Linked DNA regions of Diceros bicornis minor. The protein of the gene in region 1 interacts with the protein of each later gene in a pairwise test. Links are inferred from orthologs where the notes say so. Each region holds a gene or a part of one and is shown on either strand. Other genes may lie near its edges. The genes, in order: RNF111 and UBE2W.

Region 1 (3,914 bases):
AGCCCTAGTAGATAGTTGTATGTCATAGCTGTACATCCTTCTAGTTGCTGTATGTGGGACACAGCCTCAGCATGGCCGGAGAAGCCGTGCGTCGGTGCGCTCCTGGATCCGAACCCCGGGCCGCCAGCAGCGGAGCGTGCACTTAACCGCTAAGCCACAGGGCCTGCCCCTGGTTTATTATTTTTTTAAAACATTTTCTTCACTGAACAGTATGGAGAACATGAGTGCACAAAAGAAAGGGTATTGAGAAAGCTAAGTTGATGACAAAGGGAGGGAATTAATGTTTATTAAACACTTAATTGATATGTGACCTTCAAAGCATTATATAAACTATCATTTAATCCCACAAGAACCCTTTGAGGTAAATAACATAGCTCAATTTATAGAGGAGGAAACTGAGATTTTTTTTTTTGGTTTTAGATATCATTTTATTTCTTTTCTCATTGAGGTGTAACTGACATTTTATCTCTTTTCTCTCTTTTTTTTGGAAACAGATTTATAAAGCTCTAATAAATCAGAGAGCTGTTAATTGGCATCACTAGGATTTGAAAGGAAGTCTGTCTGACTGATTCTAAAGCCTACATCCTCTTTACCTACATCCTCCTAATGCACGCAGTGAAGCATTTGCTATCTACTGATTTTTATAAAATAATTAAGAAGGCGTATGTGATTGTACAGTCAGTTCCCAAGATATCTATTACCACTTTTGATCTGATTCTTTAAGCAAATTCACCTTAACAGTGAGGTACCATTATCTTTACGTCACTAGCGAGTATGATGTGGTATCATTTGTTGTGAAAGACACTAAACCATGTTGTTTTTGTTTAATTGTACCGTTTAAGTATAGTCAATAATTTTGTAGTTAGTTGTAATTTTTAGTTACGAAAAAATTAGCCAAAATGTAGTCAGTATTTTGCTTAATTACGGAACGCACAATCACCAAGGAAAATTAAATAACGAGCTTCATGACACCGCTCGGCTTCGCCCACAGACTGACACAGCGAGTACAAATGGGGAGGTCCGGGGAAGACGGGGCGGGACAGTGAAAGACAAGAATCTGAGCAAGCGCAGAAACAAACAGATGTTAATAGAGGCGTGAAGGCTGCTGCGCTCTCGCTTTCCGAACTGTCGTAAAGCCCCGAGTGTCGTGCTCGCTCCGTAGAGGAGGGATTGGTTAGGCGGCGGCAGCGCCGGCGGCGGCAGGAGAGCAGCAGCAGTGGCGGCGACGGTGGCGAGGTGTTCGGTCTGCGCAGCATAGAAAGGCCCGCAGCGTCGGGGAAGGAGTTCCTGTAGGACCAAATTAGGCATTCTGACCACAAGCCCTGTGAGCTGGGCCGACCCAGGCGCTGCCGCTCGTACAGTTTTGGTGGCGGTGACAGACGCTGCTCTTGACTATAGGGGCCTGTTAGGCCGAGATCTGAGACGCAGATCACTGGCTCTCGACGCATCCTCTTCCCTCCTTACATCTCGTGTCTTCCTTCCTGGACCAGTGGTTCCCGGACCCTGGGAAGAGGGTGGCTAATGATTAAGGTGAGGGGGCCAGGGGGGAGGGGATCGATTGGAGGCCGCGCGTGCGCGCAACGGGGGAGGGGCCGGCCCGGAGGGGAGAAAGAGGAAGGGCTGCGGCCGCGGAAGGCTGGGGTCCGCGACCGGCCGGTGATTGCTGGTTCCGCAGTGACTTAGGGTCTGGGTCTCCGCAGATTTAATTGTGTTTGAGCAAAGCGTTTGTCTGCGGACACACCCACACCCCACAGTAGGGGAGTGTGGGTGGGGGGATTTCTTTCCCTTTTTCGACTCTCCGTGGAGTCTGAGGATGGGGGCTGAGGACTGAGGCGTGGGAGCGCGATTTGACAATGGAGCGATGAAGGTAACCCGCACCCGGGGTGTTGGAGGGCGCTGGGTCAGCTCTGACGGTTAGGGAGTTGCCTTCTTGTGGGCTCAAGGAAACGTAGTCCGCGGAACAGCAGAAATATAGGCGCGTCAGATTTTGTATAGAGTTGGCCTGTTGGTCATTAAAAGGAGCTTGATATTTTTATTATCGATATATTTATTATCAGAGTCAGTGGCCATGCTGTAGTGGAAATATCTATTCTATACTGCAGAGATAGAGGTTTGTCACAGTAGTTTCTTAAATAGGTTATAGTAGATCTTCACAGATACTTCTTAATGCAAGTGTAAGTTTTAACGTTTAAAAAAATACCAGGAAGTGTAGGGTATTCATTTAGTTTGTTCATGTTTGTAGTGTGGGGTGACTCCATTGTATTGTATGCTTTCCTGTTTCTTGATTTACGTGCAGTATGAGTTTAGAACTCTCTCGAGTGGTGAGATGCCAGCTGACAGACTTCATTTGATTGTTCTTACAGCTTTTGAACCTGACTTAATCCTAACTTTATTTCATTTGATATTTTATGTTTAGTGTTCTGGTGTTAGGGACCTCTTCAACCAAAAAGAACAGACTGTGGAAAAGATAAGCTAAGGTTCTGTTTCTTTTTCTTTTTTTGTTTTTTTTGTGTGTGTCATTGCTTTCATGTGTTAGAATGTGGTTTCGATATTACATAGAAGTTCTATAATACTGGTTTTACTTTGCTTTATTAGGGTGAAGATCTACATTTTGATAGTTTCTTACTATGTTTTTTAGTAAAAATTTTCATGTCAATATAAACCATGTGGTTTTTCATATAAACAGTGGGCTTTGGTTGTGTTTGTGAGACAAAATAGATAGGATGAGAAAGAAGCCCTTTTATTCTGAAAATAATCCTAAATTTTTTTTTTAAGTCTTGAATTATTTTGCTTTTATCCATCTCTTGTCAGTTAACCTTGGACAAATGACATTTCTCTCCTGCTCATTTGTTTGCTGCCTAAGATTCAGAGTAGTATTCTAAAGAACTGGTGAGGGTGTTTATGAATTGGTCTAAACAATGTTGTAGGAAAAACTAGGAAGAGTAGAGTCTCTCCTACCCCCTCAGGGGTGCTGTGTCTTGTGTGTGTGGATTCTTCTGTCATTTTTTTCCTTTTGATTGGTGTCTTTTGGTCACTTGCATGTTAGTTCTTTCACTAGAGTTGGTTTTTGAAGAAAGATATAATCAAAATAATTTCATTTTGGTGAAAAAGACATTATAGTGGAGGTTGCACCTTGACAAATTTCACTTCGATACTCTATTTCTACAGATAATTGAAAACTAGCTATGCTGATGTTTAAGAGAACAGCAATTTACACGTCTAAAGCAAAGGAATAGTCAGCAGATATTCCTAAATAGTTATTTTCATTTTAAAATTTAAAATATGGAGTAAAAAACTATTGAATCAAACCGATTAGGTTTTTTACAAGTTTCTTTTATTGTTTTGTCAAAGAGAGTTTCTGTAATATGCTTTACTTGGAGCGTAATTATACGTGGCCCTGTTTTGACTTTTCTTTCTGTGGGCTAGGACTTCAGTAGGTTAAAAAAGAAAAAAGGGGGGCTGGCCCCGTTGGCGTAGTGGTTAAGTGCACATGCTCTGCTGCTGGCGGCTGGGTTTGGATCGGCCAGGTTCGGATCCTGGGCTGGCAGCGATGCACTGCTTGTCAGGCCATGCTGTGGCAGCGTCCCATATAAAGTGGAGGAAGATGGGCACAGATGTTAGCCTAGGGCCAGTCTTCCTCAGCAAAAAAAAAAAAAAAAAGAGGATTGGCATGGATGTTAGCTCGTAGCTGATCTTCCTCACAAAAAAAAAAAGAAAAAAGGGACAGTACTAAAAATGATAGTAGTTAAAGTATATTATAACTTGATGTTAACATTCTGTGTGACATTGTCTTATGAAAGAGTATAGGGCTAGAGACAGGAGATCTGGATTTTAGGTCTAGCATTGCTTGCTATTCATTAGATCTTTGACTTTATTGATAACCATCCTGGGCTTCAGATCTCACTCAATTGTTA
Region 2 (3,914 bases), on another chromosome or scaffold:
GAGGGATGTGCAGCTATGACATACAACTATCTACTGGGGCTTTGGAGGAAAATAAACAAATAAATAAAAATTATAAAAAAAAAAAATCTACTGAAAACTTTCTAGGCAAGGACATGGTCAGAGCAGCATTCATGTACAGTGTACTTTTTCCTAAGTGCTCTACTGAAATCCCAAAAATATCCATTTCACAACCTCCTTCCACACTTTTTCTCCATATCACTATCACCTTTTAATATAATGTGCAACTAGCAAATATTTTGTTCTTATCTGTCTCCCCCAATTGGACTACTATATCCACAAGGGCAGAAATCTTGCTTTTGTTCACTGCCATATCCCCAGCACCTAGATGAGTACTTGATACATAGTAGGCCCTCAAAAAATAATTCATGAGTGAATGAACAAATTTCATAATTTGGTTGCAGTTTTATGTGTAACTTAGTCATTCTGAAAAGAGTTAAACTCTACTACTAAGTAGGAAAAAATGTTGTTCACCAGACACAGAATAATCACAGAAAGTAGTGCTGTGTTTCAAAAAGTTTATCTATATTAAAATATTTTTCTAGGGGCCGGCCCGGTGGCGCAAGCGGTTGGGTGCACGCGCTCCGCTGCGGCGGCCCGGGGTTCGCTGGTTCGGATCCCGGGCGCGCACCGAAGTACTGCTTGGTAAGCCATGCTGTGGCGGCGTCCCATATAAAGTGGAGGAAGATAGGCACCGATGTTAGCCCAGGGCCGTCTTCCTCAGCAAAAAAAGAGGAGGATTGGCGGATGTTAGCTCAGGGCTGATCTCCTCACAAAAAAAAAATATATATATATATATTTTTCTAGATACTATCAGAAAATCTTTATCAGATATTTAAAAAATACAAATAAAAGATTTAGTTTTATTTTAATTAAAATAGGAAACATCAGTTTTCTATTCCTCTAATCAAAAGACAAAGGAATAAAAGGGTGATAAGACAGTCAGAAAAATGCAGTATTGCACTGGCAAGTATTGTTTTCCATTGCTTAAGTCGCCATGTAAAATTCAAGATTATCAACATTAAGTTCTGTGCCAACTCAGCTTTTTCTCTTAAAAATTAAAATCTGCCTTTTCCAGACACTTGAAGTCTAAATCTAACCAGCTAATTAGCTATCCCTACAATTCTCTTGTCAAATATAATCACAAGTGTTGGGGATTTTAATATTAATTGTTAGTCTTAAATAATTTTAACCTTAACACGAATAATCTTAAACTGGTCATATAGCCCATCTACTGTTCAACTACTGTTCCACAGTTCCTTTTTTAGCCTCAAATGACGAAACTCCTCTAACGTCTCTGTGGAGACTAGTGTCAAGTGTAATGTTTCTGAAATTGTTTTTTCTCTGCATCGTTTCATGACATCTCTTCAACTAGGAATGTTATATACAATTTTTTTTCCCTATTCTGCAAGGAAGTCCAGACGGAGAAGCAACTGTAAAAAGAACATTCTATGAGAAACAGGTTGAAAGAGGATAACACAAAAGTACAGAAGTCAATGTGAAGCAAACGTGCACAAAAGAGGAAGAAGATGCAGAAAACAGAAGAGATGAAAGAAAAACACTGTTCTCGTCTAGGAAAGAAAAAAACAAGGAGGGTGGATAGGGAGACTTGCTTATTCTTCTAGAAACAAAAGCACAAAATCCTTCTAAGAAAAACGTGGTCTCCTTGTTAAGCAAATGTTAAAACTCTAAAAGGCGCTCAGCTGCCACTCCAAACGACAATTCTTCCTTCTCTTCCTATATGTTTCGATAGAGCTAGTCTTCATCTGTAAATTAAATGCAAGCTCTAGATAATGCAGAGTCAATCTCTACAAAACTGCAACTGTGGTTGCCATCTTTGCCTGAAAAAAACCAAACTCGTTGGATTTGGAAAAAAGGAGTATATTAAGTAGCAAAGCCAGAAAACCACGCGTTGCCAAGTCAGGCAGATACAACACGAGTTAACAAACGCTTCCTACCAAACTAAGGTTCCCCTAAAGATCTGGGGAAGAAGGGCAAAGGGCTGCAGCCTTACCGCGACCGCAAGGGTGGGGCACAGCAGGGAAAAAAATTTGAGGGCGAGCTATCCCGGGAGGTCTAAGGGGACTGGTGACTCGGCTCTCGGGGAGATCGCCTACTAGGCGGCCAATGATGTCGATGGACTAAGGGCAGCTTCGGGGACAGTGAGAAAGGGGGACGAATGTTCGTGGAGGGTGCGGAGGTGATACAGAAAGGTACCCACGGGGCAAAGGATTAAGAGTCAAAGGGAGGAGAGCCGAGGGGCCGAGCGGTCCGGAGGCCGGGCGTGGGAGGCCTGAGCGGAGGCCGCGAATCGCCTTTGCAGCCAGCCGCCTTCTCGGGGAACGCCTTTTCAGCTCCCCACACTCAGCCCCTCTCAGGGCCGCCCCTGCCCCGGCGACAACGGCGAGAGCAGCTGTTTCCGCCCGGCCGGGGACCACGGAGGAAAAGGCATCCCTGGGGCGGGCGGGGAGGCCGCCTGCGTGAACGGGAGGGGATTCCGAGACCACTGCCGCCCAGCCAACGCCAAACTTGGCCCTTTCCTCCCCTTCGCCCTCTTTCTCCCCCAACTTCGCGGCCGGCGGGTGTCCGCTTCGACCGACCGCGACCCCCCCACCCCCGCCCTTCTTCTCGCCGCCTCTCACCCCTCCCCAACGCCCTGAGGCTGAGGCAGGACGGGCCACGAGGGCCGCTCCCGAACCCGCCCGGGTGCCCCAGGGTCCCAGACGCCGCCCCCGACGAGACGGTCGCATCCTCTCGGCGGCTCCCTCGCCCGCCCAGATGCTGCAAACTCCTCTCACCTGCATTGACGCCATGATGGAACCATCCCCCCAAGGCCGGCGAGGCCAGAGACGCAGGGGGCGGAGCCGCCGTGCTTGCGTCACGCCGCGGGGGCCCAGCATCCCGGGCGCGGGGGCGGGGCCTGCGATGGGAAGGGGATGGTGCTAGGGGATTGGCTGGCGCCCGGGGGGGAGGGGCGGGTGGGGGCGCGGTAAATGGCGCTGTCTGTACCCTCGGTCACAGCCGGCTCTAGGGCGTCGGGGGCTCGCCCGCCGGCTGCTCCGGCCGCTTAGGGGACGCCGCTCCGGTTCTGACCTGAACACGGACGTTGTTTTTTTTTCTGTCTCTGCTCCGACATCCTGATGATGTCTGGGCCCGAGGGGTTTTCTCTGTTTTGTTTTGTTTTTCCGACCACAGGTGTGTGGTTTACGGATTTTTCCCCTCAGATGTCTTTTCCACACGACCATGCCCCCTCTCACACCCTTGGGCCAGATAAAACTTCCCGCGGGGCTGCTTTCAGGTTTTGAGGACCTGGAAGACTTCTCATATTCCTAATTTGGGGAAGAGAAACACAGATTTCCTTCTACAACGGGATGAGAATTGAGAGCACAACAGCACTTGGGTATTTTAAAGGCGAGAGTAGATTTGAAGAGCTGAAACTTGCCTGAAAGGGAAGAGAAAATTTTGAAGTTTTTCTTTCGTTTGTGTGCGATTTCCGCCCCTTTACCGCAGCTCCTCAGTTTTAAACTTAACGTGTGTCAGTGGTAGTTATGGTTATTCTGGCATTGGTGTTTGATTAGAGATTTGATCCTGGATGTGAAAAAATTTTTTTAATGTACCAGTGTCACGTTATAATATACACTTACACCTTCTGTCACATCTAGACTTCTCTTCAGGCCATTTCGTGGTGGGCAGTTTTGTGGTGGTTCACCCTAGGGGTGTATTTGAGTAGAGAAAGCTGAGGATACAGGGTTTATTCTGGGAATGCACCAGATCTGCCAACATTGATAAATGTTGGCATCTTTAAAAGCCGCATCTTTAAAAGCTATTCCAGAACTGAAGATGTCATTGGTTTATAAGAAGAAAATGGAAGCCAAAGTCTTGCACCTCGTGTTCTG

Evidence for each region.
Region 2: the proteins of RNF111 (region 1) and UBE2W interact in a two-hybrid assay, tested with the Homo sapiens proteins (2 studies listed by BioGRID and IntAct). The link is inferred for Diceros bicornis minor from reciprocal best matches to the Homo sapiens genes RNF111 and UBE2W.

The regions. Positions count from the first base shown.
Region 1 is NC_080744.1:54,052,673-54,056,586, forward strand, and holds the start of RNF111 (E3 ubiquitin-protein ligase Arkadia), read left to right. Parts: upstream 1-1,190; 5' UTR 1,191-1,530; intron 1,531-1,653; exon of another isoform or gene 1,654-1,867; intron 1,868-3,701; exon of another isoform or gene 3,702-3,914. UniProt on the Homo sapiens protein: E3 ubiquitin-protein ligase. Required for mesoderm patterning during embryonic development. Acts as an enhancer of the transcriptional responses of the SMAD2/SMAD3 effectors, which are activated downstream of BMP.
Region 2 is NC_080772.1:25,347,194-25,351,107, forward strand, and holds the start of UBE2W (ubiquitin-conjugating enzyme E2 W), read right to left. Parts: upstream 2,919-3,914; coding exon 2,817-2,918; intron 1-2,816. UniProt on the Homo sapiens protein: Accepts ubiquitin from the E1 complex and catalyzes its covalent attachment to other proteins.